Rattus norvegicus: one gene and its partners. The protein of the gene in region 6 interacts with the protein of the main gene of each other region in a biochemical or structural test. Links are inferred from orthologs where the notes say so. Each region holds a gene or a part of one and is shown on either strand. Other genes may lie near its edges.

What was found.
Region 1: the proteins of Bcl10 (region 6) and Card11 form a complex in vitro, tested with the Homo sapiens proteins (2 studies listed by BioGRID, with this or other methods). The link is inferred for Rattus norvegicus from reciprocal best matches to the Homo sapiens genes BCL10 and CARD11.
Region 2: the proteins of Bcl10 (region 6) and Ikbkb form a complex in vitro, tested with the Homo sapiens proteins (2 studies listed by BioGRID, with this or other methods). The link is inferred for Rattus norvegicus from reciprocal best matches to the Homo sapiens genes BCL10 and IKBKB.
Region 3: the proteins of Bcl10 (region 6) and Chuk form a complex in vitro, tested with the Homo sapiens proteins (2 studies listed by BioGRID, with this or other methods). The link is inferred for Rattus norvegicus from reciprocal best matches to the Homo sapiens genes BCL10 and CHUK.
Region 4: the proteins of Bcl10 (region 6) and Ikbkg form a complex in vitro, tested with the Homo sapiens proteins (3 studies listed by BioGRID). The link is inferred for Rattus norvegicus from reciprocal best matches to the Homo sapiens genes BCL10 and IKBKG.
Region 5: the proteins of Bcl10 (region 6) and Card9 form a complex in vitro, tested with the Homo sapiens proteins (2 studies listed by BioGRID). The link is inferred for Rattus norvegicus from reciprocal best matches to the Homo sapiens genes BCL10 and CARD9.

What each region holds. Positions count from the first base shown.
Region 1 is NC_086030.1:18,860,588-18,864,087, reverse strand, and holds part of Card11 (caspase recruitment domain-containing protein 11), read right to left. Parts: intron 3,199-3,500; coding exon 3,102-3,198; intron 2,256-3,101; coding exon 2,160-2,255; intron 612-2,159; coding exon 476-611; intron 1-475. UniProt on the Homo sapiens protein: Adapter protein that plays a key role in adaptive immune response by transducing the activation of NF-kappa-B downstream of T-cell receptor (TCR) and B-cell receptor (BCR) engagement.
Region 2 is NC_086034.1:76,067,031-76,070,530, reverse strand, and holds part of Ikbkb (inhibitor of nuclear factor kappa-B kinase subunit beta), read right to left. Parts: intron 2,904-3,500; coding exon 2,854-2,903; intron 2,757-2,853; coding exon 2,657-2,756; intron 2,481-2,656; coding exon 2,333-2,480; intron 1-2,332.
Region 3 is NC_086019.1:252,934,274-252,937,773, forward strand, and holds part of Chuk (inhibitor of nuclear factor kappa-B kinase subunit alpha), read right to left. Parts: intron 2,261-3,500; coding exon 2,191-2,260; intron 586-2,190; coding exon 497-585; intron 1-496.
Region 4 is NC_086039.1:157,371,695-157,375,684, forward strand, and holds the start of Ikbkg (NF-kappa-B essential modulator), read left to right. Parts: upstream 1-1,190; 5' UTR 1,191-1,308; intron 1,309-3,629; exon of another isoform or gene 3,630-3,691; intron 3,692-3,837; 5' UTR 3,838-3,877; intron 3,878-3,990. UniProt on the Homo sapiens protein: Regulatory subunit of the IKK core complex which phosphorylates inhibitors of NF-kappa-B thus leading to the dissociation of the inhibitor/NF-kappa-B complex and ultimately the degradation of the inhibitor.
Region 5 is NC_086021.1:29,575,603-29,579,815, forward strand, and holds the start of Card9 (caspase recruitment domain-containing protein 9), read right to left. Parts: upstream 2,801-4,213; 5' UTR 2,583-2,800; intron 1,499-2,582; 5' UTR 1,487-1,498; coding exon 1,303-1,486; intron 919-1,302; coding exon 781-918; intron 1-780. UniProt on the Homo sapiens protein: Adapter protein that plays a key role in innate immune response against fungi by forming signaling complexes downstream of C-type lectin receptors.
Region 6 is NC_086020.1:237,500,003-237,503,980, forward strand, and holds the start of Bcl10 (B-cell lymphoma/leukemia 10), read left to right. Parts: upstream 1-1,178; 5' UTR 1,179-1,303; coding exon 1,304-1,360; intron 1,361-3,978. UniProt on the Homo sapiens protein: Plays a key role in both adaptive and innate immune signaling by bridging CARD domain-containing proteins to immune activation.

The DNA of each region.
Region 1 (3,500 bases), on a different chromosome or scaffold from region 6:
CTGACTTTCCCCCTCCAACTGTGTGTGTGTGTGCATGTGTTCACACATGTGTACGTGTGTGTGCCTGTGTACGTGTCTATGCAAGTGTGTGTGCACACACGTTTGTGTGCATGTCTATGTGTGCATGCGTGTACACAAGTCAGAAGCAGATATTGGGTGTCTCACTGGGTGTCTTTCTCACTCACTCTATGGCTTGTTTCTTCAGACAGGGCCTCTCATGAAATTAGAGACTTAACAATGTCCAGAATGGCTAGATAGTGAACTCCAGGCATCCTCCTGTCTCCGCCTCCCCTAGCTGGGGCTGTAAGTTCAAACTAGAACAATGCTGGGGTAAGCACACATCTTCAGCCCCCTCCCTTGTCTGTTCATCCTGCTAAGCTTGTCCTGGGGACAGATGTGGCTCCATGGAGGGTGAGGTGTGTACCAGACATGCCCCTGCTGGGCTGTAGGGAGAGGCCAGGAGGTCCTCACACACCTTCATGCTTCTCGGTCAGGAGTTTGGTGGCATCCAGCGAGGACCGGGAGAGGCTCCCCAGGGGACTCCCAGAGATGATTCTCACGCGCTCATTGCTGTTCATTCTTTTGTACTTGTTTTCTGACCGACTGACAAACTGTGGAGAGAAGGAGGTGTGGCAGGTGGGTGGGGCATAATCTCTTGGTTTGTGCCAAGATTGACTTGTACCAGGCAGACAAAACCTTTGCCCAAACCTTGACTCTATTCTGTGGGGTGCTCAGGGCAGATTGCCTCTGCTGTAAAAAGCCAGCCCCTGCACGAGACTCTGGAACACTCTAGTTACCGTCCCATGAAGACACCATGTGCAGCTACTGTTCTAGCTGGTGAGGACCCTGGCTGGCAGCCCCTGGGGTCCATACATGCTGGAAACCTCTGAGTCCCCCGCATTGTTCCCATGACCCTCTGGGTTCTGGGATCATGGCTTCTCACACAGTTCATATATACAGAGTCCAGGTTCCCACAGGGCACCGTTGAGTGTCTCCCTGCTTCAGAAGAGCCTGCCTGGTCCTAGTGTGTGTCAGATTCGTGCTTTTATTCTTATATATTTTGGAGACAGGGTTTCATGTAGCCCAGGCTAGCCACAACCTTACTATGTATCCCAGGAGGATTCTGAACTTTGGATCCCGCTGCCTCTACCTCCTGAGAGCTGGGATTACAAGCCTGCCCCACGGTGTCAAGTTTATGTGGTACTTGGAAAGTAACCCAGGGCTTTGAGTATGGTAGGTAAGCATTTAAACAACCGAGCCATGCCCCTAGCTTAGCCTTGAATCTTTGGCTGAGACCCTGATGACTCAAGCTTGACACATGGGCCTGACAGTGTCATGATAGATGGATGGCTCTGCCTTCCAGAGGCCTTAATACCCTGCAGGTCTCCTCCCACCAGGCTGTCTCTGTCACAGAATTGTGTCTATCTGGGATCTGGGGTCAAGGTGTTAGTTATTTCTTACTGCATTGGAGTGTAATTAATGCAGCAGCCACACAGGAAATGTGTGTGTCTGGGCTCACGGTCTTTGCTTCTCTCAACTATCGATACAAGATCTGGCTATAGTCACTGAATCTGTACCTATAAGAAATCGCACAACAAGCTCGTCAATGGTTCTTGTATTACTTTCCCCCACCCCCAAATATTTGCTATTTCTTTAGAAGTTAAGTACAAGGAGAAAAAAAAATCCATCCCGGTTCTGAAAAGATGAGCTGCTTCCACAGACAGGTAAGGTCCGAGAAACCTACTGGGTTCCCTTATCTCCTTGGCTGCCAGGATGCTCAGGTAACTGTCATGCTCCCCCAGAGAGAATACACTGGCCTACATATCCGAAGGGTTTGTTTTTCTCTCTCCAACACAGCACATCTGATTTTTCTATCATATTTTAGCAGCAGAGTTGTTGGAAGCTCTTTTGGCCTAAAGTTTCTTCGAATCTTTTATGAAAGTGAGACTGGCTTCCAGCAGGCGTGGAGTCTGTCTACAGACCTGTCACTGCGAGGATAAAATGGGACAGGAGAAGCCAGGCGCTGTGAGAAGTCACAAGGGGCGCCCGGAATACAATGCCTTGTTATGTCCCATTGGCACCTCTTCTTGGTAGGCAGAGGGTGGAGCCCCAGCAAGCTGTGCTAGGAAAGCCAGCGGGCATGCAATCACCAACCTTACCTGCAGGAGCTGACCGAAGAAGAAACTTGCTCTGGAGAGGCGGGGACTGACCCGGGGGTCGCTGGCCGAAAGCGGCTCTTCCGGCTGCAGGGTGTTCTGGAATGAGTTTGTCGATCAGCTCAGGCTGAGCGAAGGGCTCCTGAGTGTGAGACTGCAGTAGAGAGGTGTACACCCGGCCCCAAGTCCCCTCTGGCTCGGATGTGAGGGGCAACATCGAAGCCTTGCAGTCTGGCAGCAGCAGAGGCTGGGAGAGAGCAACTGCTTGTATCTGAGACCAGAGCAGGAAGGGCTGAGACACCTTTGTGAGTCTCCTAAGTCACAGGTAGGGAGGGCTCACAGGAGCTCCCCATCCCAAGGAACCAAGTCCCTTGCAATGCATCTTCCTGAAGACATGGTGACACGGCTTCTTACATGTATGGAGGAAGAGGGAAGCTTCAGGACCCCTGTCCCCACCACTCCACTGTGTGTGTGTGTGTGTGTGTGTGTGTGTGTGTCTGTGGGTGTGTGTGTGTCTGTGTGTGTGTATGTGTGTGGTGTATGTGTGTGTATATGTGTCCGTGTGTGTCTGTGTGTCTGTGTGTGTGTCTGTGTGTGTGTGTATGTGTGTGTGTCTCTGTGTGTCTCTGTGTGTGTCGTGTGTGTGTGTGTGTGTGTGTGTGGTGTGTGTGTGTCTGTGTGTGTGGTGTGTGTATGTGTGTCTCTGTGTGTATATGTGTCCGTGTATGTCTGTGTGTGTGTGTGGTGTGTGTGTCTGTGTCTGTGTGTGTGTCTATGTGTGTCTGTGTGTCTGTGTGTGTGTCTATGTGTGTCTGTGTGTCTGTGTGTGTATCTATGTGTGTGTCTGTGTATGTGTCTATGTGTGTGTTTGTGTGTCTGTGTGTGTGTTGTGTGTCATGTGTGTGTGTGTGTGTGTGTGTGTGTCTGTGTGTGTGTGGTACCTACCCGGAGGCTACGCAGGGTGTGGTGAGCGCTGTCTGCCTCTTCCCGAGTGCCTCTGTGAACCAGTCGCTGGAGCTTCACCAGGAGAAGCTGTTGAGCTCTGTGGAGGGGATATGGAAGCAGCCTTAGGACTAGGACTGAACAAGGCGTGTGGCCTGCAAACTGGAGAAACTGGGCCTGAGGGTCCCCCAAGAAACACAGGACTCCCCCTTTGGGGATGGGATCCAGTCTCTTGAAGACTGGCTGCAGGGTCATGCCCTTCCACCTGGGCTTCTTCGCTGACCACAGGACTGGCTGAGACCCACTGTCTGTGACCATCTAAGCAGCAGCAAGAGCCCGGAAGAGCAGGTGTCGCTGTGTGGAAAAACAGGCACCCAGTAGCCCTGCTCCTGCTGGGTTCAG
Region 2 (3,500 bases), on a different chromosome or scaffold from region 6:
CAGTGGGTGGCTCACAAATGCTTAACTCCAGCTCCTGGGGGACCCAGTGCCTCTGGTACACCTGGACACATGCACGCATGTGCACACACTCACACCTGAATACACACACACACACACACACACACACACACACACACACACACACACACAAAGCAAACCTAAAGGAGAGGAAGGTGTTTTCACTTTTCCAAGTGGGAAGCCAAGGTACACAGAGATAATAACGACTGCACTACCTGTGGTGTAGCTCAGAAAGAACACTGAGGCGTCTGGATGACCAGGGTTGCTACAGCTAGCCTCCTCCAGCAAGAGGCCCACCCAGGCTGTGGCTGCTGGCCACCTCCTCATGCGTGCAGCCAGGGACCAGGCCCTGCAGCCAGTTCCTTAGCACCTCTAGCCACTTCTGCAGTTGAGCCTCTGGCCTCTCCTTGGTGGGGTTGCCTCATACACTCTTCGCTGTCCCTGATCCTCTCGTCACTGTTGCCAGAAGCTGCACGGTCCTAATCTCAGCCCTCAGGTTGGGGTCCCTTTCTGCCTCCCCCTCCCCGACCCTGGCTAACCACCAAGGTCCACCTTCAACAAGCCTTTTAAGCAAGCGCTTTTGTACTGTTCCTCACCCGTCTGCTGCACCACCTGTGGAGAAAGCTGGACGCCTGCTTCCTCTGTCTCTACACCAGGCATGCAAGCTTAATTCATATGGAAGGGCTAGCCTGCTCCACACAGGGTTCTCAACTCCTTCCACCCATCGCCTTTGTCTCTTGGTGCTACGGTTGACAATGTGGCATTCCGTCTCCAGCCACTCCCGAGTGTTTTCTCCTGAAGTGCCTTCACTGGGATTGGGAAGAGGGAACCCTTCAGTGTTTCCTCTTGTGCTATGAGAATAAGGGGTGCCGGTGCTAGCCCCATTCCGTCTTGCCCCCAGTGAAACCCTACAAGCACTGCTCCAATCCAGCTTTACCAGCAGACAGCATGCGCTCTCCTGGAATATTCTCATGGTCACATCACTCCGACTCCCACGCAGGAGCCTTTCTGGTTACTCCCTCACTTCCGAGAAAGCTGGGGTTCCTGCCCTGAATTCACAGGCCGCCACCCTGCACACCAGAGTTTACGCTTCTTCTTTTTTTTTTTTTTTTTTGGTTCTTTTTTTCAGAGCTGGGGACCGAACCCAGGGCCTTGCGCTTCCTAGGTAAGCGCTCTACCACTGAGCTAAATCCCCAGCCCCGAGTTTACGCTTCTTTAGCAGGCTAGGGTGCTCTCTTTCAAGTCCTCGTCTGCGCCCTCGGTGGGTTACGGTGGATGCCAGACCCAGCTCCCCACACAGCACAGCTCTCACACTGGACACTCGGTGAATGCAGGTGGCAGAACAAGCCAGCATGTGTTACCTCGGTTCCCCTTTCTTACAGGAGGGCATATCCCCCAGCTCCCATCCCCAGGCAAATCCATCAGTGAAGCTCTGGATTCTGACTTCCCTGAGTTCTCTAGAGTGAGCACAAGTGTGAGCTTGCTGCTGTGAGCCTCGCAAGACACTGCCTCCTCCCGCTTGGCCTGTGGAGACGCTCCAGGCTTAGAATCTTCACAAAGCAACATTTTGGTTTCCTGCTTCTGTAATAAACTATCTCCTTTTCTTGCTCTTTTTGGATTTATTTTGTTATCTGAGGTAGGCCTTACTATGTAGTCCAAGCTAGCCCTGAACTTTCTGCTCCAGAGCCCCAAGGGCTGGGCTCACAGGTATGTGCCACCATGCCAGTTCCTTATCAGCCCACTAACACCTTGAAAGGAGTCTCGACATTGCTTAGGCTGGTCTAAACTCATCATCCTCCTGTCTCAGCAAGTGCTGGGATAATAAGTGTGCAACCTTCTGCTTAGCTCTGTGTGTGTGTGTGTGTGTGTGTGTGTGTGTGTGTTTGTGTGTGTGCTGCTGCTAGGGTCTGACTGGACCCAAGGCCTTAGGCACGGGGCAAACATCTTTCTGCTGAAATGTATCTCTACCCCAGAATGTCTTATAAGAGACACTCGGATGAGACACTGATGTCAACAGAAGACAGACACGGACGGGATGAGGAGGCCTGAGCCACTGAAGCTGGAGAGGGTAGTGGGGGTGGGGTGGCTTTGCCCTGGATCCATCAGAGGAGACACCATTTTGCTGACAACTGGATTCCTAACTTCCGGTATCTGAAGCTCTGAAAGAGCAATGGCTGCTGTCTGCAGCTCTTTGAGGTAATTGCTGAAGCCTCCCTTCAGGGAGCTTCCCTGACCACTCCATGTCACAGGTCAGAGCTGAAAGAGCAGCCACGGCTGAGGGAGGGGACCTGAGAGGCCGGAATAAGTCACTCACACAGGCGATCTTCAGGAGGTTCCAGAGCTCCTTCTGCCGCTTCTCCTGGAGCCGGACCACAGTCTTCTCATCCTCGTTCATGAGCCTCACCACCTCTTCTACTTTGGGCAGCAGCTCCAGGGCCTTCTGCTTACAAACCACGGTCTTACTGTGAGGGACGAAAGATCCACAGGCCTGAGAGGTCTGGGCCGGCACAGCACTGCTCTAAATACGATCTGTTCCTCATTGTGCGGGCAGATCGCAGCCGAGGAGCAAGGGCATCCACCTGCCCCTTGGCTTTGTTGATTCTGCATCCGGTCCTGGATGGGGAGAGGGAGCACCCACCTGAGCTGAGAGTAAATCACCCGCACTTTCTTCTCGAAGCTCTGGATGGCTTGCAGCAGCAGCCGTACCATATCCTGGCTGTCACCTTCTGTCCTTTGGTCTGCAGAGGAGAATGGTATCGTTCCTCCTACTGGCCTCCAGGGGAGACCACTGCCTCACAGACAAGACAAATGGAGGCTGGGGTCCGAAGCACATACCTCTTGGCTTCTCCCTGAGTCTTCTGTAGAGTTCTCTTGCTTGTTCCTCTCTGGAAAGAGAAAAGGCCATGGTCACGGCACAGCAAGAACGTTTACAGCACCAGCCCGCTGACCTCGGCCAGCAGAATCACCACTTTTCAGATGACCGGTCACATGCTCTCAGTGGGAAAAGACTGCCAGTTTGGGAATAGTTATAAAACCCAAATGCCCCAAACAAGAACAAGCTTAAAGATTATTACACTCCTCCTCTGCTTAGCTATGAGAGGCATTCGAGGTGCCATTTCTGGACCTGACCAAGAAAATACTTGCCCTCAAAAACCTAAGTCCAAAGCTAGACGTGAATGCCTGCCTCTTCCTCTAACACAGGTGGGCTGGCAACAGCCTCAGAAGGAGGCTCTAACTGATCTTGGCTGTGCACACACAGCCCAAGCCCTCAGGAAGCTGAGGTAGTAGGATTTCTGTGAATCGGGGCAAGTCTTGACTGTGTACCAGGTCTCTCAATGCTAAATAGTGAGACCCTGTTTTGAAACAACACCTGCACACACGGACATCCACATCCACATGCGCACAAGGTGAAGATTCTCATTTGGAAACTGGAAGAGAGAGGGTTAATATGTAAGATACGATGGAGAACAGATAATTCTTTG
Region 3 (3,500 bases), on a different chromosome or scaffold from region 6:
GGTCAATATTCCTAGTCCAGAGATGAGCAAGACAGATGCTTCTCTAAGGAGCCACTGTTCCATAGAGAAGGAAAAAAAAAAAATCTAACCACAAAACCACCATTCAGGGGATGGACAATTGGCCAGGCAGTTACAAGCACTGGTTGCTCTTGCAAAGAACTTGAGCTCAATTCCAATCACTTACACAATGGCCACAGCCATCTGTAATTCTAGACCCACGAACTCTGGTGCCTTCTTCTTGTGTCCTCCACAAGCACCATATGTGGTACACATATACAGAAAATAATAACAACAAGCACAACAATAATGTATCTAAAACAATAACAATAATAAGTCTAGAATTAAAAACCCTACAGTTTAATTCAGTGAAGACCACAATAGAAGAATTATAAAGTACTATGTGTATATAATTAATGAGAAAACTAAAGTCTCTAAAGTCTTAATGTACCAGGGAGACTATAACGAAAAGCATGAACATTCTTCAGGCTTCACCTACCTTCCCACCAACATCTTGAAGCACTATATTTTCAGGTTTTAGATCTCGATGTATAATTTTGTTTTCATGCAAATAACGAATCCCAGATCCTAAACAAAATTTCAAGTGTATTGTGAAATAACAGAAAATACTGTTTAAAAAATCATATCACACTTTGTTTTTATTGTTAGAGTTTTGAGACAGTTTCATGTGCCCTGTCTGGCCTGGAACCCCTATGCAGCCAAGGATTACTTCACTTCTAATTCCTAATCCTCTTGTTCTCCCTCCCAGTGCTGTGACTGCAGGCATGTTCCAGCACCCTCAGCTCTTTCCTTAGACAGGGTCTCACTATATAGCCCTGGCTGGCCTGCTGGTCTTGATCTCATGGAGATCCTTCTATCTCTGCCTCCCAGTGTTAGAATAAAAGCTGTGTGCCACCATGTCTAGCTACAGTCAGTTTTTAGCTCATATTTCTATAGATCTACACTGGTGCAAAAATTATGTCCAGAGCCATTATGGAGATGGCTCAGTGGATAAAAGTGAATGCCGTGAAAGCCCAAGGACCTGAGTTTAACCCTTGTCCCTCCCCCCAACACACACACACACACACACACACACACACACACACACACACACACACACACAAAGTCAAGTATGACTTTGTGTAACAATAACCCCAGCAGGGTTAAAAAGAGGAAAAGGCAAATCTCAGGAACTGGCTGGTCAGCCAGCCTAGTCGGAGCATGGAGCTTCTAGTTTAGTCAGAGACTCTGTCTCAAAACAATCAAGTTAAGGAAATGAGAACATCTGCCATCCTGCTGTTGCCTCCAGATGCATGCTGTGAGTGTGCACCAACAATCGCCCCCATGTACCACACACCACACCTCCCCACATTTACACGATCTATCACAGCTGCACCGCCATTAGGGTAGTTCAGATTTTCTTCACCAGAAGTTCAATGACATGAAATAAACACTGGAAAAATTATATTATATACTCTTTTAATTTATTGGAATCAACATTAAAAGCAAATGGAACGATTAATTTTTCCTGTAATTCTTATGGTCTTTTCCTCCCACCTAAATCACATTCTTTTTTTTTCCTTTTCTTTTTTTCGGAGCTGGGGACCGAACCCAGGGCTGAACCACTGAGCTAAATCCCCAACCCCCTAAATCACATTCTTAAACTAGATATTACTGTCCTTGACCCAGGAAAAGAAGCAACACTAAAACATAGAGGGAAATGAATTCTTGCTTTTTGAGGTTTCTTTAAAGGTCTAGTTTATGGTTATTTTAGGGATTTTTTTCAGTAGTAATTCTGACTAGAAGGAGAATTTCCTTCCAAGATAACTTGAGGAACTATCCCTGAAACATGTAATTCCTCTATAAACAAACTATTATGTCAGTGTGGGGGGAGGTATGAGGGGGAATGAGATGAATGTTGGTTCATACCACTTTTCTCATCACTGGACCATCTATTAGACAATAATACATAGCCAAAACCAAACAACAAACAAAACCCCCTCATATAAAAACAAATGCCAAATGTACTAGTTTTCATTAGCATCATAAGAAATGGATAATTCTAATTTTTCAGAGATATTAAAATCTATAAGTATATATATGTAGTTCTCCTTCCCTTCCAAGCAGTACACAGAAGTTTCTGTGGACCAAAGGGGCATTAAATCGCATGATACTTTAATATTAGTTACATACCTATGTCACTCAGTAAAGAAAGGATCTGGCTCTCTTTAAGTCCACAACAATTTTCTGGTTTGTTGAGTAGCTAAAGAGAAGAGAAGAAAAGAAAAGACATCTATTACTGCTGAGTGGCAACAGCGAAATCATCAACCACTATACCGTCAGAGGACACTCAAGTAAAAAAGTCACGCTACAGAAATTATAAGGATTGGGGCATAGTGGTGCATGTCTATAAGGCCAGCACATGGGAAGATGAGGCAGGACCCTGAGTTCAAGGCCAGCATGGGCTACATTGAAAGTCTGTTTTGCTACTTGTAACAATGACAAGAGATAGAAGGGTAAAAAAAAAATCATGAAATCCATACTGAGGTTGAATAAATTTGATGAGAAGGCTCATATGGAGTAAAGACGAGGGCAATAGCACTTGAAATTGAAAAATGCTGATAAAGAGATACATTTAAAATTAAATACAAAGAGTGATTATAATAAAAAGACAAGTTTTTAATAAGCCCCACAAATGTTGATATTTTTATTTAATATGACCAGCATGTTCTAGGCCAAGCATGGTGGCACATGCCTTTAATCCCAGCACTCAGGCAGAGGCAGACAGATCTCAAGACCAGCCTGGTCTAAAAAGTGAGTTTTAGGACAACCAGGGGTCCATAGTGAAATGCTGTGTCAAAAACAACAAGAACAAGAACAAGAACAACAACAACAACAACAACAAACAAAGAAACAAAAATAAAATTAAATTAAAAAAACCTAGAATGTATATAGCAATTAGTGGTTTTGGTTTTTTGTTTGTTTGTTTGTTCTTTTGTTTTGTTTTCTTGCCAACTTGGCGCGAGCTGGAGGAAAGCTCACTTGAGGCAATGCCGATCAGGCTGGCTAGTAGACAAGTCTGTGGGTCACTTTCTTGATTAGCAGTTGATGTTGCATGGCCCAGCCCACTGTGGGAAATGCCACCCCTAGACAGGCTGCAGTCCTAGATTATAACAGCAAGAAGGCTGAAGGAGTCATGAGGAACAAGCCAATAAGCAGTGCTCCTTCATGGTTGCCACTTTAGTTCCTGCCTTACTTTTCCTCAACGATGGGCTGGGATTGGTACATACAGAAACTTTAATTTTCCCAGGTTGCTTCTGTTGTTTCTATTGCTGTGGTCTTTATCACAGCAATAGAAAGCATTAAGACAAAGATTAACAAATATTTTCTGTATGGAGTCAAATATTAAGTACTTCAAGCTATGGAAGTCATAATTTCTGTTCCACTACTCAAATCTAGAACTGTTCATAAGCAGCCATAACATGCACAGAGCTGTGTTCCAA
Region 4 (3,990 bases), on a different chromosome or scaffold from region 6:
CTAAGGCATCCACTCTGGGCAGCTAGATATAATACAGTCAGGGCATCACACTCTATATGGGACCATCATACTCTGGTGTCTGCCAGAAACTCCACAATGAACTGAGCAGGTTTGATTGTGTAGATGATGGAGTTCAGCTCCGGCTCTCTTCTGGCCCAGTTAGGAGATTCCGGAACGTACCTCCTCTTGTAAAGGTCTAGTTCTCTTGGGCCCAGTGCAGAGAAAGTGCGGGATACAAAGAGATGGGTTAAGACCTTGTAGATTAGCGCGCATCAAAGGAACACGCGGCATACAAGCGGGCAGCATGTCCCTCCACCGATGTGACATCAGACCACCCCTTTACCTGAATTTAGTTGCCGCTGCCAAACACGTTCACAGATCTGGAGTGCACAGCCCGTTTCCGGGGGCTAAGCTTCGTTGGCCCATTTAACGCAAGAGGGCGTGTGCTTTGACTGAGCTGACCCGCCTCAGGAGAGGCAGCGGGGAGGAGCTTCGGGCTACTCTATCAGTGCGGGGGAGGAGGGGGGGGAGAAGAGTAGAGATAAATGCGCGCGCAATCCCGGCGAACTCCGCCCTTTGGCCGTCCCTGATGCCCCTGCCCCGCGATCGCGATGTCTTGCTTGCATTGGTGCAGCTCCACTCAGTTCTCCTGTATTCCCTTAGTCTCCCCAGCCATAATGTATGGTCTAGCTTTCCGCTGGGCCCCCAAGGCCCTGCACCTTCCCGGATGACCCCACTTCCGTTAGCAGCGTAGCCACGCCTTCCTGAGGCTAGTTTGGCTTCTGGGGCCCAAGTTTCGCAGCTTCCTCTAGACTTTTAACTTAGTAGGGGCCTGGCAGCAGAGAGCCAGGGGTGTTTTAGTGAGGATGCGATGCCTTGAAAATGGGGTGAGAGCGAGTGTGGACATGGTGACTCACTGCTTTAATCCCAGTAGACGGAAAAAAGGCAGGTGGATCTCTGAGTTCGAGGCTAGTCTGGTCTACGTAGGACCCTGTCCAAAAAAAAAATTGTGTGTATAAGAGTTGTGATGTTTATCAGTAAGGAGCATTCTGCTGTTCCGCTGGCCAACGCAGGCTGGCGGTCTAAGACTTTGGAGCAGAGTGTGGCACTTCGGAGTTTTAACTCTCTAGTATTAATGCCTTTGAGTCTGTGTTTTACTTCCGGATCCCACACTTACGACACCGGAAGCCGGAAGTGGGGTTTTCCACTGCTGAGAAGGGAAGGGTGACCGCCTGACTAGGATTTCCTAGGAGCTCCGATTCTGCCGCTGCTCCTGCCCTCTTCACTTCTGACCGACTCTGCTGACAGGTGTGGTCCTCTTCCCCAAAAACAGGGCTTCATCGGTGACCGTTCCGCAGCTTCTGAGACTCCTGAGGTCCACACCCTTCCCCCATCTTAGGCCCAGTTCTGCCGCAAGCTTCTAGAGCATTGGTTCAGGCAGGTTTATTCGCTACCCAGGTTACTTGGGTGGCTAGTTGGCTTGAATTTGCCCTTCCCTTCACCGCAGCTGTCTCCTAAGGGCTTGGCCCCTAGTGGTAGAACTCTTTAGTTAGGAGACATTTTCTGTTGATCTAACTGTTTCTGAAACACTTTTTGCACTGTAGGCCAGGTAGTCCTCGAACTCAAGTTTCTGCCTCAGCCTTTCGAGTACTGGAGCAACAGGTGTGCCAGGGTGTTTATCAAACTTGAGTGCATTTGAAGTCTTTAGAAAGTTTTCAAGGGTACATTCACAACTAAATATCTTCTGCACCTCAGTTCACTTTGCAAATGATTCATAGTAATCTGTTTGCAGGTCCTCATACCATTTATCTGACCTGAGAACGAATGTGTTGTCTTGGCATTTCCTAGGAAAAAGGAAGGACTAGTAGCCGGAGCAGAGAGAGCGAGGGAGGAATAGTTGGTGGAGAGGAAGTAAGGTAGGAGTGTAGGTGGTATAGGACCTTGTAGGCTGTTGTATGGACTTTGTTTTTTGCATTGGGAGAAGTGGAAACTCTGATGGAGTTCGAGAGAAGTAGCTTGACTTATCTTTGAGGTAATTGGTCCCAGTGGGGTCAATTGCAAAGGGCCAGTGAAAAGCAAAGCATGATGGTCTGTAAAGAGATTATTGCAGTAATGCAGGTGAAAGATAGTAGTGCTGTCAGCCTTTACTTATTGAACCATTTAAAAAGTACAAAAGTAGAAATAATATAGTAAGTTCTATGGATACATTTCTTAGCTGTGACTATTAGCTCATAGTTAACTTTAATTCACACCCCTTATAATCCTCTACCACAATTATTTTCTTTTCTACAGAAGATGTTATTTTATGTGTGTAGATGCTTTGCTATGCTTTCCTAGTGCCCAAGGAAGTCAGAAGAAGGTGTCATATCTCCTTGGATTGGAGTTACAGATGTTTGTGAACCACCATATGGGTGCTAGAAAGTGTCCTCTGCAACAATAGCAAGTGCTCTTAATCCCTGAGCCATCATCTCTCTTGCTCCACCCATTATGATTTTCAGTAACAGCTTTCTTGAGACATAATTGGCATGCTACACAAAATATTTACTATTTGTGTGTGCTTTCGCCTCCACATGCATGCATGGTGTATGATTTGTATAGAGAGCACAGGTGCCATGGCTAGACTATGTAGAGGTCAGAGAACAACATTGAGTCAGCAACCTGTTTTTCACTTTTATATGTTCTAGTGTCTCCAGGCTTGCATAGCAAGAGCCTTTATCCACTGAGCTGTCTCACTTGCCCATACTTCAATATATTTGAAACAGTCTCCTGTAGATCCCTTCCCCTTGAGTTCCTAATCCCCTGGAGCTGGAATTACAGAAGGTTTGAGTTGTCCAACATGGGTGCTGTGAACTGAACATGGGTTCTCTGGAAGAGCAGTCAGTGCTCCTAATAGCTGAGCCATCTCTCCCAACTTCTTTTAAGACTTCTAAACATCCAAGTAGTTTGATATGTAACTGGAATTCGGGAATGTGAACTGTTTGAGATATTATCAACATTAAGATTTGGGTTAAAAACCATGAGACTGGACGGAATTACTGCAGGGTGAATGCTGTTAGAAAAGAGGTCCCAAAGTACCTCAACGTGAAGAAATGGGGACTCAGTAAAAGGGCCTGAGCAGAATCAGCCTTTGAGGGAGTGGGAATCACCAGGTGAGGAGGTTTTCTGGAGCCTGAAGGAAGAAAGTAGGTGAAAAAGAGGGAAGGGTCAGCTGTGTGAGCTCAGGCAGATGGACCCATGGGTAGCAACACTTTTATTGTAAATAGCCAAGATTCCCCAGTGTTATAGGCATCCTCTCTTATTGGAAGCCTACTTCTGGACGCTTGCATTGAGATCATTCTCTTCCTGGTTGTCAGAATGAGGCAGGATTTAGAAGGTCTCCAGGTTAGTACTGTCCTGCATAATTCCTGTCTGCTTTAAAAGCCAGCATAAGCAGATCAGACTGAAACCCCAATTCACACTTTTCAAACTTCTTAGCACACAAGAGGTCTCCTCTATCCCCAGTGAATACTTCTCAGGTACAATGTAGTCTTCTGAAGTCTCTCTTACCAAGTATTTGTATTTCCCTGACTCCTGTAAGAAATGACCACAGGCCCAGTGGCTTAAAAGAACAGAAAATTGATACCTCACAGGTCTGGAAGCCAGGAGAATAAAACCAGAAGGTGGACAAGGTCATGCTCCATCTGCAAGTTGTGTAAGAGTATCCTTTATGTGTCTTTTAGTTGCTGGTGGCTCAGTTGTTCCTTGGCCTGTGGTTATATTAATTTAGTCTCAGCTTCTGTCTCTCATGTCCATTTTCCTGTGTTTCCACCTGTTTCCTCTTCACTTTTATGTATATAGGAGGAGCTTGGAATTGAACCAACAGTCTTGTGCATGCTAGGTAAGTGCTCTACCACTGAACTACATTCCCAATCCTGTTTTCATCTGTCTTTTAGAAGGGTTCTTGTTACTGGGGTCATGGCCCACCTATGTACCTCACAATGATATCACTTT
Region 5 (4,213 bases), on a different chromosome or scaffold from region 6:
GACCATGCAGTGTCAGGTGGAGCTGTGGCTGTCACCTGCAGACCCTGTGCTCGTCCTTGTCTACAAGTGTGTGCTTGAAGACCAGCAGCTTGAGGGACAGAGGGAGCACTCCTGGCCTCCCAGAGGGTAGGATGGGTCCCTCAAGACTGAGTGTGCTCACTAGGCCCAGTCTGCCTTGCTGTCCCTCACAGGCGAACTGAGATTCTGACTCAAACACTCACATGCCAGGACTGCAGTCGGCCTTCTGTCTCCCCCCAGCCCCTGTTTTACGTGTTTATGTTGTATGTATGTAGTCCAGGCTGGCCTCTCACTCTGAGATCTGCTTGTCGCTGCCTCTGGAGTTAAAGGTTAAAGGTGTGTGTCATCATGCCTGCCCTCTGTTACTCTTACAGTGACCTTTGTGAGATGGATGAGAATTGATAGGGCTGTGGCTATTCCACCACGAGAGGACACCTCTGTCCCCTCTGGAAACTGTACGACTCTGCCCTTGGCTGACAACTGGGCCCTGCAGAAATGGCACTGCAGAGCGGTCACCACTTCAGTGGAATTTCTAGGCTGTGAGTAGGAGAAGCAGAGAAGGGCTCCCCTTCTGGAGACCAGCAGGGCCTCAGCAATCCAGGAAGGCCCTGCTCCCGAGAACCGGAGAGGCACCAGGGACCACTACCCTGATCTACATCAGAAGGCTCGTGTCAGACTTAGTCACTCCAGTGCAATCACAGGAGCCGGGGCCAAGTAGCACCGAGTCCACCCACAGCACCAACCCACACCTGTGCCTCTCACCGATGATCATGGAGAAGACACGCGCTGGCTCCTTGCCAGTGACTTTCCTGTATAACTGAGGGTAGTAGAGTTCCAGACTCTCAAGAAAGGCCACGTAGCCCTTGTGGCCTGTCCGCTGCAGGATGTCCAGGAGCACACCTTCAGGCAGAAGAGACAGAGTCAGGGCCCAGGGCTGGGTAGGTAGAGGCCCTTGGGGCTGGCTAGGATGGTTACTCTGGGTAGATAACCTAAGCTCTAGACACCCCCTTCCCTTCTGGGCCATTGCATAAGGCACCCTGCAGGTCTCAGTCTAGGTGGGACAGGGTGCTGTCTTTACTCTGGTGGCTCTGAGGATCTGAACAATGGTGGGGACTCCCTTCCCCCACTGGGCAGCAGCAGGTAGACATGACAAGAGGGGAGGAGGACCTCACTCATATCCTACATGGAGATGGAGCTGGGTGGGGCTGAGGTAGCAGACTCTGGCTGGCTGTCTTGTGGGGATGATGAGGGACTGGGCCCTGCTGGTATGGGAGCAGCCCTCACCCACTTTCCGCTTGCGGATGACCAGGTTGGGGTCACTGAGCACCTGCTCCTCATCATCGGGGTTCAGGACTTTGCACTGGCGCAGATAGGGTGTGATTCGTGAGGGGTCAATGACAGAGATTAGCTTCACCCGGAAGCTCTCCAGGGCACTCCAGCACTCGTCGTCATTTTCATAGTCTGACATGTCCTCTGTAGGCTGTGGTACAGTTGGGGAGAGCAGCTGAGGAAGTGCCCACCTTCTGTTCCCTGCTGGGCCTGGCGCAGTCAGCCTGACAGGACCCAGGCCTGGGAGTGCCAGGGCAGGGCTTTGGGCAGGGTCAGAAGGGACTCAGTCTAGGGAAATATACGGCTCAGTTTCATCTCCTCAGCTCCATGGAGAGTTTCTGAGGGGAAGCAGAGGTCCATAGGCAAGCCCCTCCTCAGGCCACCTGTTAAACCCACCTTCCCCAAGCTGCTGTCACCCCAAGCTTTCGTTGAGTCATGTGGATATGCAGGGAAGGGATGGGTTGGGGGTCTAAGAGAATAGCCCTTGTACAACAGGCCTGCTCTAGCTTCTGCCCTCTACCCTGGAGTGCCCTGGCACACCCTCAAGGTGGGAGCTTTTGCCCCTACTGGCCATCCTACATAGTACCTCCCTGGGTGGCGTGGACCCTGGCTGGCCAGTCTCCAGATTGGGACTAAGAGGGTCAGGTTGGTGGGAGGCTTTCTCACTCTGCCAGGGGGCCAGGCCTATGTGTGACTTCCTCATTCCCTGACAGGCTCCGAGTCCTTCAGGCCTTCCGTTGTAGCCAGTGATGCAACAGCCTGTGGCATGGTGCTATTCTGGGAGGGCAAGTAAGGGTTGGCCGTGGGAGCATGCCTGCCTCCCTGCTAGGCTGGGGTACACTGGACGTCTGCTGCGGCTTCCCTCCAGTTTTTCAGGTGCTAGGCAAGTCCTGTGCTTTTCTGCTGCCGGATGAGGCCTGGCCTCTGGCCACATGATGGGGATCAGTCAGGCCAGTTGAACATAGGGGCTTACTCGTGTGGAGCTGCATGTGGACAAGTGAAGCCTTTGTGAGTGGCTTCAGTGGACAGACATTTCTCTAAACCTTGGGCCCACTGCCTGCCATTCCAGCCCCACAGCCACATGGCCCAGCACTGGAGGACTATACTGCCATGGCCAGGGTTAATCAAATGAAGGGTGAGGGTGGAGGAGGCCACCTGCCTGTAGGTACTGCTGCTCCAGGGTCCCCAGCAGACTCACCACAGGCTTCCACCCACCTCCAGGAAGGTGAACTTACCTCAGGGTCCTGTGGGAGCCACCTGCCAGCTGGATGCTGCCTGGGCTATGGGCACTCCAGGAGCGAGCCTCTGGGAGTGTGGAGATGCTCCCTAACTGGAGAAGGGTGGAGCCATGAGGGAGGCTGTGCACTTCCTGATGTGTTCTGGTTGCTGCCACAAGCCAGCCAGTCCTCCCTGGGAGGGGGGGGGGGGCAGTCCCTGCTGGTCTACCTTCTGATTGGTCCATCCAGGAACAGGAGAGAGGGAAGTAGAAGTACTCTGGGAGCAGAGGAGCCCTCCCCGCCTGCTCATCTGAACTCGGACCTGGAGCCACAGAATCTGAAAATCTGGCGTTGTGGATGGGCGGTCTAAGGCCCTCCTGGATCCAGGCTTCTGAAAGCCGCTCTTCCCTCATGGCCGCCCATATCCTCACCTGCCGTCTGAGGACGGTGGTGCAGGGTAGGTGCAGCAGGACAATCCACGGGCTGTAGGCAGCTAGAGTCCTCCGTGAACTGCGTGCCCCAGCCTGAGATGGGCGTGGGGACCTGCTAGCCCTGACCAGCCAGTGTAGCTGTTAGACAGGTGCTGCTGCCTAGTCTTCGAGAGGAGTTGAAGCAAAAGCTGAGTGGGAAGGCTGGGAGACCTACAAAGAGCAGAGCCCAACCAGCCCCGTCTTTCGTGGCTTACTGCCCTTCTGTTGCTCCTGTGGGGACAGTGACCTTGGACCATACTTCTAAAAGCAGCAGTCAGGAGTCCTCTTTGGCCTGGGTGGGGTTGGGAGTGGCATTGCTAGGGACTGTGCCTTGCTGGGTTTCCAGGATGGCAAAGAGGGGTCCACGGCTTTGCAGTTACTCCAGGAAGGAGATCACAAGGCCTCCATAGTGGAGTTTGTTCCCCAAACAGTAAAAATACAGATCATGGTGTTTTCTTAAAAGTGTTAATAAAATGGGAAGCTCTTGCCCATAAATCTGAGGTAGAAATCAATCGGATAGCTGAAAAAACCCCAGTACTCCAGAGTGGAGAAGAGGTTAGAGGGAGCCATGGAAAACACTGGTCCCTGGACACATAACAGAGGGCAATGAGCTGGGCTGCAGGACAACCACCTGCTGACAGTCGGTACAAGCAGCAGGATTAGGCTGCTCACGCCATTTTACTATGAAATTTCCCACAGAGGATGGATGAACACATGCAAGAACTAACTCCTGGAGAGCCAAGGGCTTAGGACTGGTGTCACGATAATAGTGTCTAAGAAAAAAGGAGACAGGGCCGGAGAGATGGCTCAGTGGTTAAGAGTGCTGACTGCTCTTCCAGAGGCCCCGAGTTCAATTCCCAGCAACTACCTGGTGGCTCACAACTGTCTGTAAAGGGACCCGATTCCCTCTTCTGGTGTGTCTGAAGAGAGCAACAGTGTACTCATACACATAAAACAAATAATTTTTTTTTTTTGTTTTTTTTTTTTTTCCCGGAGCTGGGGACCGAAGCCAGGGCCTTGCGCTTCCTAGGCAAGCGCTCTACCACTGAGCTAAATCCCCAACCCCTAATTTTTTTTTTAAAAGGGAGAGACAGTCAGGAGGGAGAGGTGCTGCTGTCTGGGATGGGTGCTGGTTCCAGGGACCTTGCCTGGCGGTGGGGGGCCAATTGACATAGTTCC
Region 6 (3,978 bases):
TGACTAAGGGCACAGAAAAACTCTAGTAAACTAGACATCAGTGTGAAAAAACACCTGGTATAATGTGAATACCAGGATTCCAGGGCTCTGAGCAGAGCTATGGAGATGTGGCTCTATGCCTCTTGTGGTTCTTTGATTTTAGATAGATTCCTGTTACCTTTGGTCGTCTTGTCATTTCAATCTGTGCTTGTAGATTTACCGCATTGGTCACATAATCGTTTTCTGCCCAGGACTCTATGTGGAGCTCCTTATCCACTATGTGCCGCACAAGCTACGAGTTAAAATACCATTCTGAAAATAGCCATTTGGCCTCCAAAAAGATAACTTCCCCATCACGACATACCTAGCACTTACAGTGATAAAGGCTAACAGTAAACGAGAGTGCAACTGTGCACCGAGTAGCTTCAGAGCCTTAAATATGCTCCTAGAGACCCTAGAAGCTTTTTAAATGTATCTTTATTGCATAGATTAATACGGAGAAATGTTCCTAACGAATAGAGACTTAAAAGTACCTGAACACTACCTCTGCTGCTAAATTGATGGGATTGCAGTTAATTATTAAATCTTAAACACCTTTTTCGTTTTTTTATTGTGTTTTGTTATTTTGTTTTCTGCACTCAATATCTTCTTGTTTCTGTCTCCCAAGTTCTAGGTGGCAAATGGCAGTAGGCCCCGGACCAGGCTTTCAAACATTTCAATACTGGTTATATTATGTTATATATTATACATTTGTGTATGATCAAGCAATTGTAAAACCTGGCCCAGCACAACAGGAAATTGTTCCGCAACAGAGGGAGAAGCAAACCAAAATGCCCTGGCCTACTCAGCCCACACTCTACCCAAAAGAGGAGTCTGCGAGGGCGGGGAGATCCCGCTACACTGAGCGGCCAACGCCCCGCCCACGGAAACGAATCCTTCTCTTGGGGCCAATCCGCAATCCTAGTAAATAACAAGCGGGCGTAGTTAGAGGCAAGGCTGCTGTGGGCGGAGCCACTTCGGAAGAAGGGACGAAACCTAGGGCTAGTAATGATTGGCTGGCACGGAAGTGGGCGGGGCCTGCAGGTAGACCCGCCTCGCCGAAGGGTGGTGCCTAAGTTAGGATGGACTCTGAGTGCGGCGCCGCAGGCCCCGGAGGCGGAGCCGGAAGTGGGGCGTTGAGGTCTCCTCCTCCGCGTTCCGTGAACCGGCGGTTCCCCCGCTTCTGTTCCTAGTCCTCCCAAGTCACAGCCCGATTCCCGGAGGCCCGAGCCCTTAGCCAGGGCGGGGTGGCGCGGGCCGAAAGGACGCCATCCCGGCCTCGGCCATGGAGGCTCCCGCGCCGTCTCTCACGGAGGAGGACTTAACTGAAGTGAAGAAGGACGTGAGTAGCTCCGCCGGGCTGGACGCAGCGGGGCGGGCGGGGGCGGAGGAAAGCGGAAACCCAGAGCCGAGCGACGGGGAACCTCAGGTCGGAAGAGCGCCAGGTCCCGGCACAGCACGACCCGCCTGCTTCCCCGGAGCTGGCTTCAAATGATCCACCAGAGACCTGGGAGTCCACGGTTAAACCTGTCAACGCCGGCTTGGGTTTATCTTTGCTATCGGCTTCTCGCTGGTGGCTTTCCATCCTGTTGATCCCCGACTCCATCCCATCCCCGAGGGAGCTGCTAGGCTAGGGAGCGGTCCGAATCTGTCCACAGCGGGCTCTGGACCAGGTATGCCCCAGGCATAGAGCAGATAGGTGAAACTCTATACGGGGGGCTGCGGAAAGCTCGCCCTTTGAAAGGACGCCCTGGAATTCCCCTAGTAATCAGACGCCCACATATTTAAATGAAGGGGATGTGCTTACTTCTCGCTGAGACTTGACTCTCTCAGGTAAACGTTGAAAATAGTCATAGCTAAATTGGACTCTCCTGCTTAGACCACGTAGAACTTCGCATACACATTAATATTTGAGAATATGGCTTTAAACACAACGTGCTTCGTTTTTCATTCCCTTTAATTACTTATTTTGCCAGGAAAAAAAATCAAATGAGTACCATTTACATGATATATATGGATTCACTTTAAAAACAGTAATTTGTTCGTACCTAGCACCGCAGTGCTGGTGAAAAGTCGTCTTTTCGAACTTGACTGCAAGTTGTTGCAGATGTCCGCGTGCTTCTGATCTCTTTTTCTACTATACCTTACCCCTTGTAAAGGTTTATTGCACTGTACCCAACCCATAATTACAGCTGGACTAGCTCAGTACCAGAAGGAAAAGGTCCAACTGGCATTACTGCCATCGTTTCCGTGTTCAGGGGAATTGGTAGGGCACTTACTGTATGGGAAACTTTACATTTCTACTTGAGACTAGGTCTTTGATAACCACTCCGGCCTTAAGATGCCAGTAAAACCGTAACCTTAAAATATGGTAGCTGCGGTCTCCGTTGTCGGACACAGTTTTGAATTTTCTCACAATCATTAAGGGAGAGAATTGCTTTTCATTTTGTAGCTGGCAAAACAAGCCAAGACCTGAGTATAGATAGAAGAGTGCTGCAGACCTTTGTTTCTGCCCATCGACGTCTATCCATTCTGACAGTTTCAGGTCAGACCTGTATCAGCTGTCCATAACCTTAGAGAAACTTTAGATACACCTTAGGATGTCTATAAAAACAGTTTTCTTAGGTAGTTACCCAGTTATTTTTTAAACTGCTTATAACAAGCTTAAAAATTTATCCGCAGTTCTTGAACTTCCTTTTTTCTCAACTCCAGGCCTTTATTTCTACCAGAACCAAGCTATAACATCATACATTTGGTTGTTGTTTTTCTGTGTAACTCTGGCTGTCCTGGAACTCATTCTGTAGACGAAGCTGGCCTCAACTTGGAGATCTTCCTTCCTCTGCCTCCCAAGTGTTGGGATTAAAGGCATAGCCACCACTGCTTGCCATGTTCTTTTATTTTCAGAACTGGAACTTTTCGTTATCCTTCCCCCAAAACTGCTTGGTGTTCCTTCTGTGTTATCTGCTTGGATAAATGGTGGGAAGTTGTTTCCATGGGGCTCTGTCTGACTCAGGGTTTGCTTTCTTTGGCTTCTGTTGCCTGTGGGTCAGCCATAGTCCAAAAATACTTAATGGGAATTTGCTACATTTATAGTGTTACAGATTGAGCACCATGATAAAATCCTGGCCAGGGGCATGAGTTGCACCTTTTCCCCAGTACTGTGTGTCACCTGCCTGTTAGTCTCTTCATAGCTAGCTGTGTGGGTTATTACATTGGTTTTGATGGAGGAGAGCTTGGGATGGGGTTGGTACTGTGAAGTTTTGCACATCCATTGAGAATCTTGGTCCATGTCCTCCCATGCTAGCTGGGAGCGAGTCTTCAGTGCTCCTCCCCTTCTTCATGTTTATTTAACATGCCCCTATTTTGGTTGAATTTGTTCCATTTTAACAAATAGAGATAACTTTATATTCTGAGTTGATAATGTAACAGTTAAACTAAGAACTAAGGGACTAGAGAGATGGCTTAGCAGTTAAGAGCACTGACTGCTCTTCCAGAGGTTCTGAGTTCGATGCTCACAACCATCTGTAATGGGATCCAATGCCCTCTTCTGGTGTGTCTGAAGACAGCCACAGTGTGCTCACATAAATAAATAAATCTCTAAAAAAAAAAAAAGCTCAATTTCTTGAATGAAGGAAAATAGCCATAAAATAATAACTTTAAAATAGTATATTAAAATTTTCATTCATCTAAAGCACTGTACTTTGAAATGCAGAGTATACAGCAGTAAACAGAACGTCCGTGCTGTTTACCTGCTTCAAACATACAGGTGGTGAAAGCTGAAAAGGATGTCTGTCATTTACACAAGCACATTTGTAAGTTCACTCGGAGCTACGAAGACAAGCACCAGGGCAGTCATTGTACATGCAATTCGATCCTCAGGTGTGCTTGATTGATTCTTAAAGGTTCTAATAGAGAACCTGGGAGAAGAGCATTTGATACAGAGAATTTGACAAGGACCTA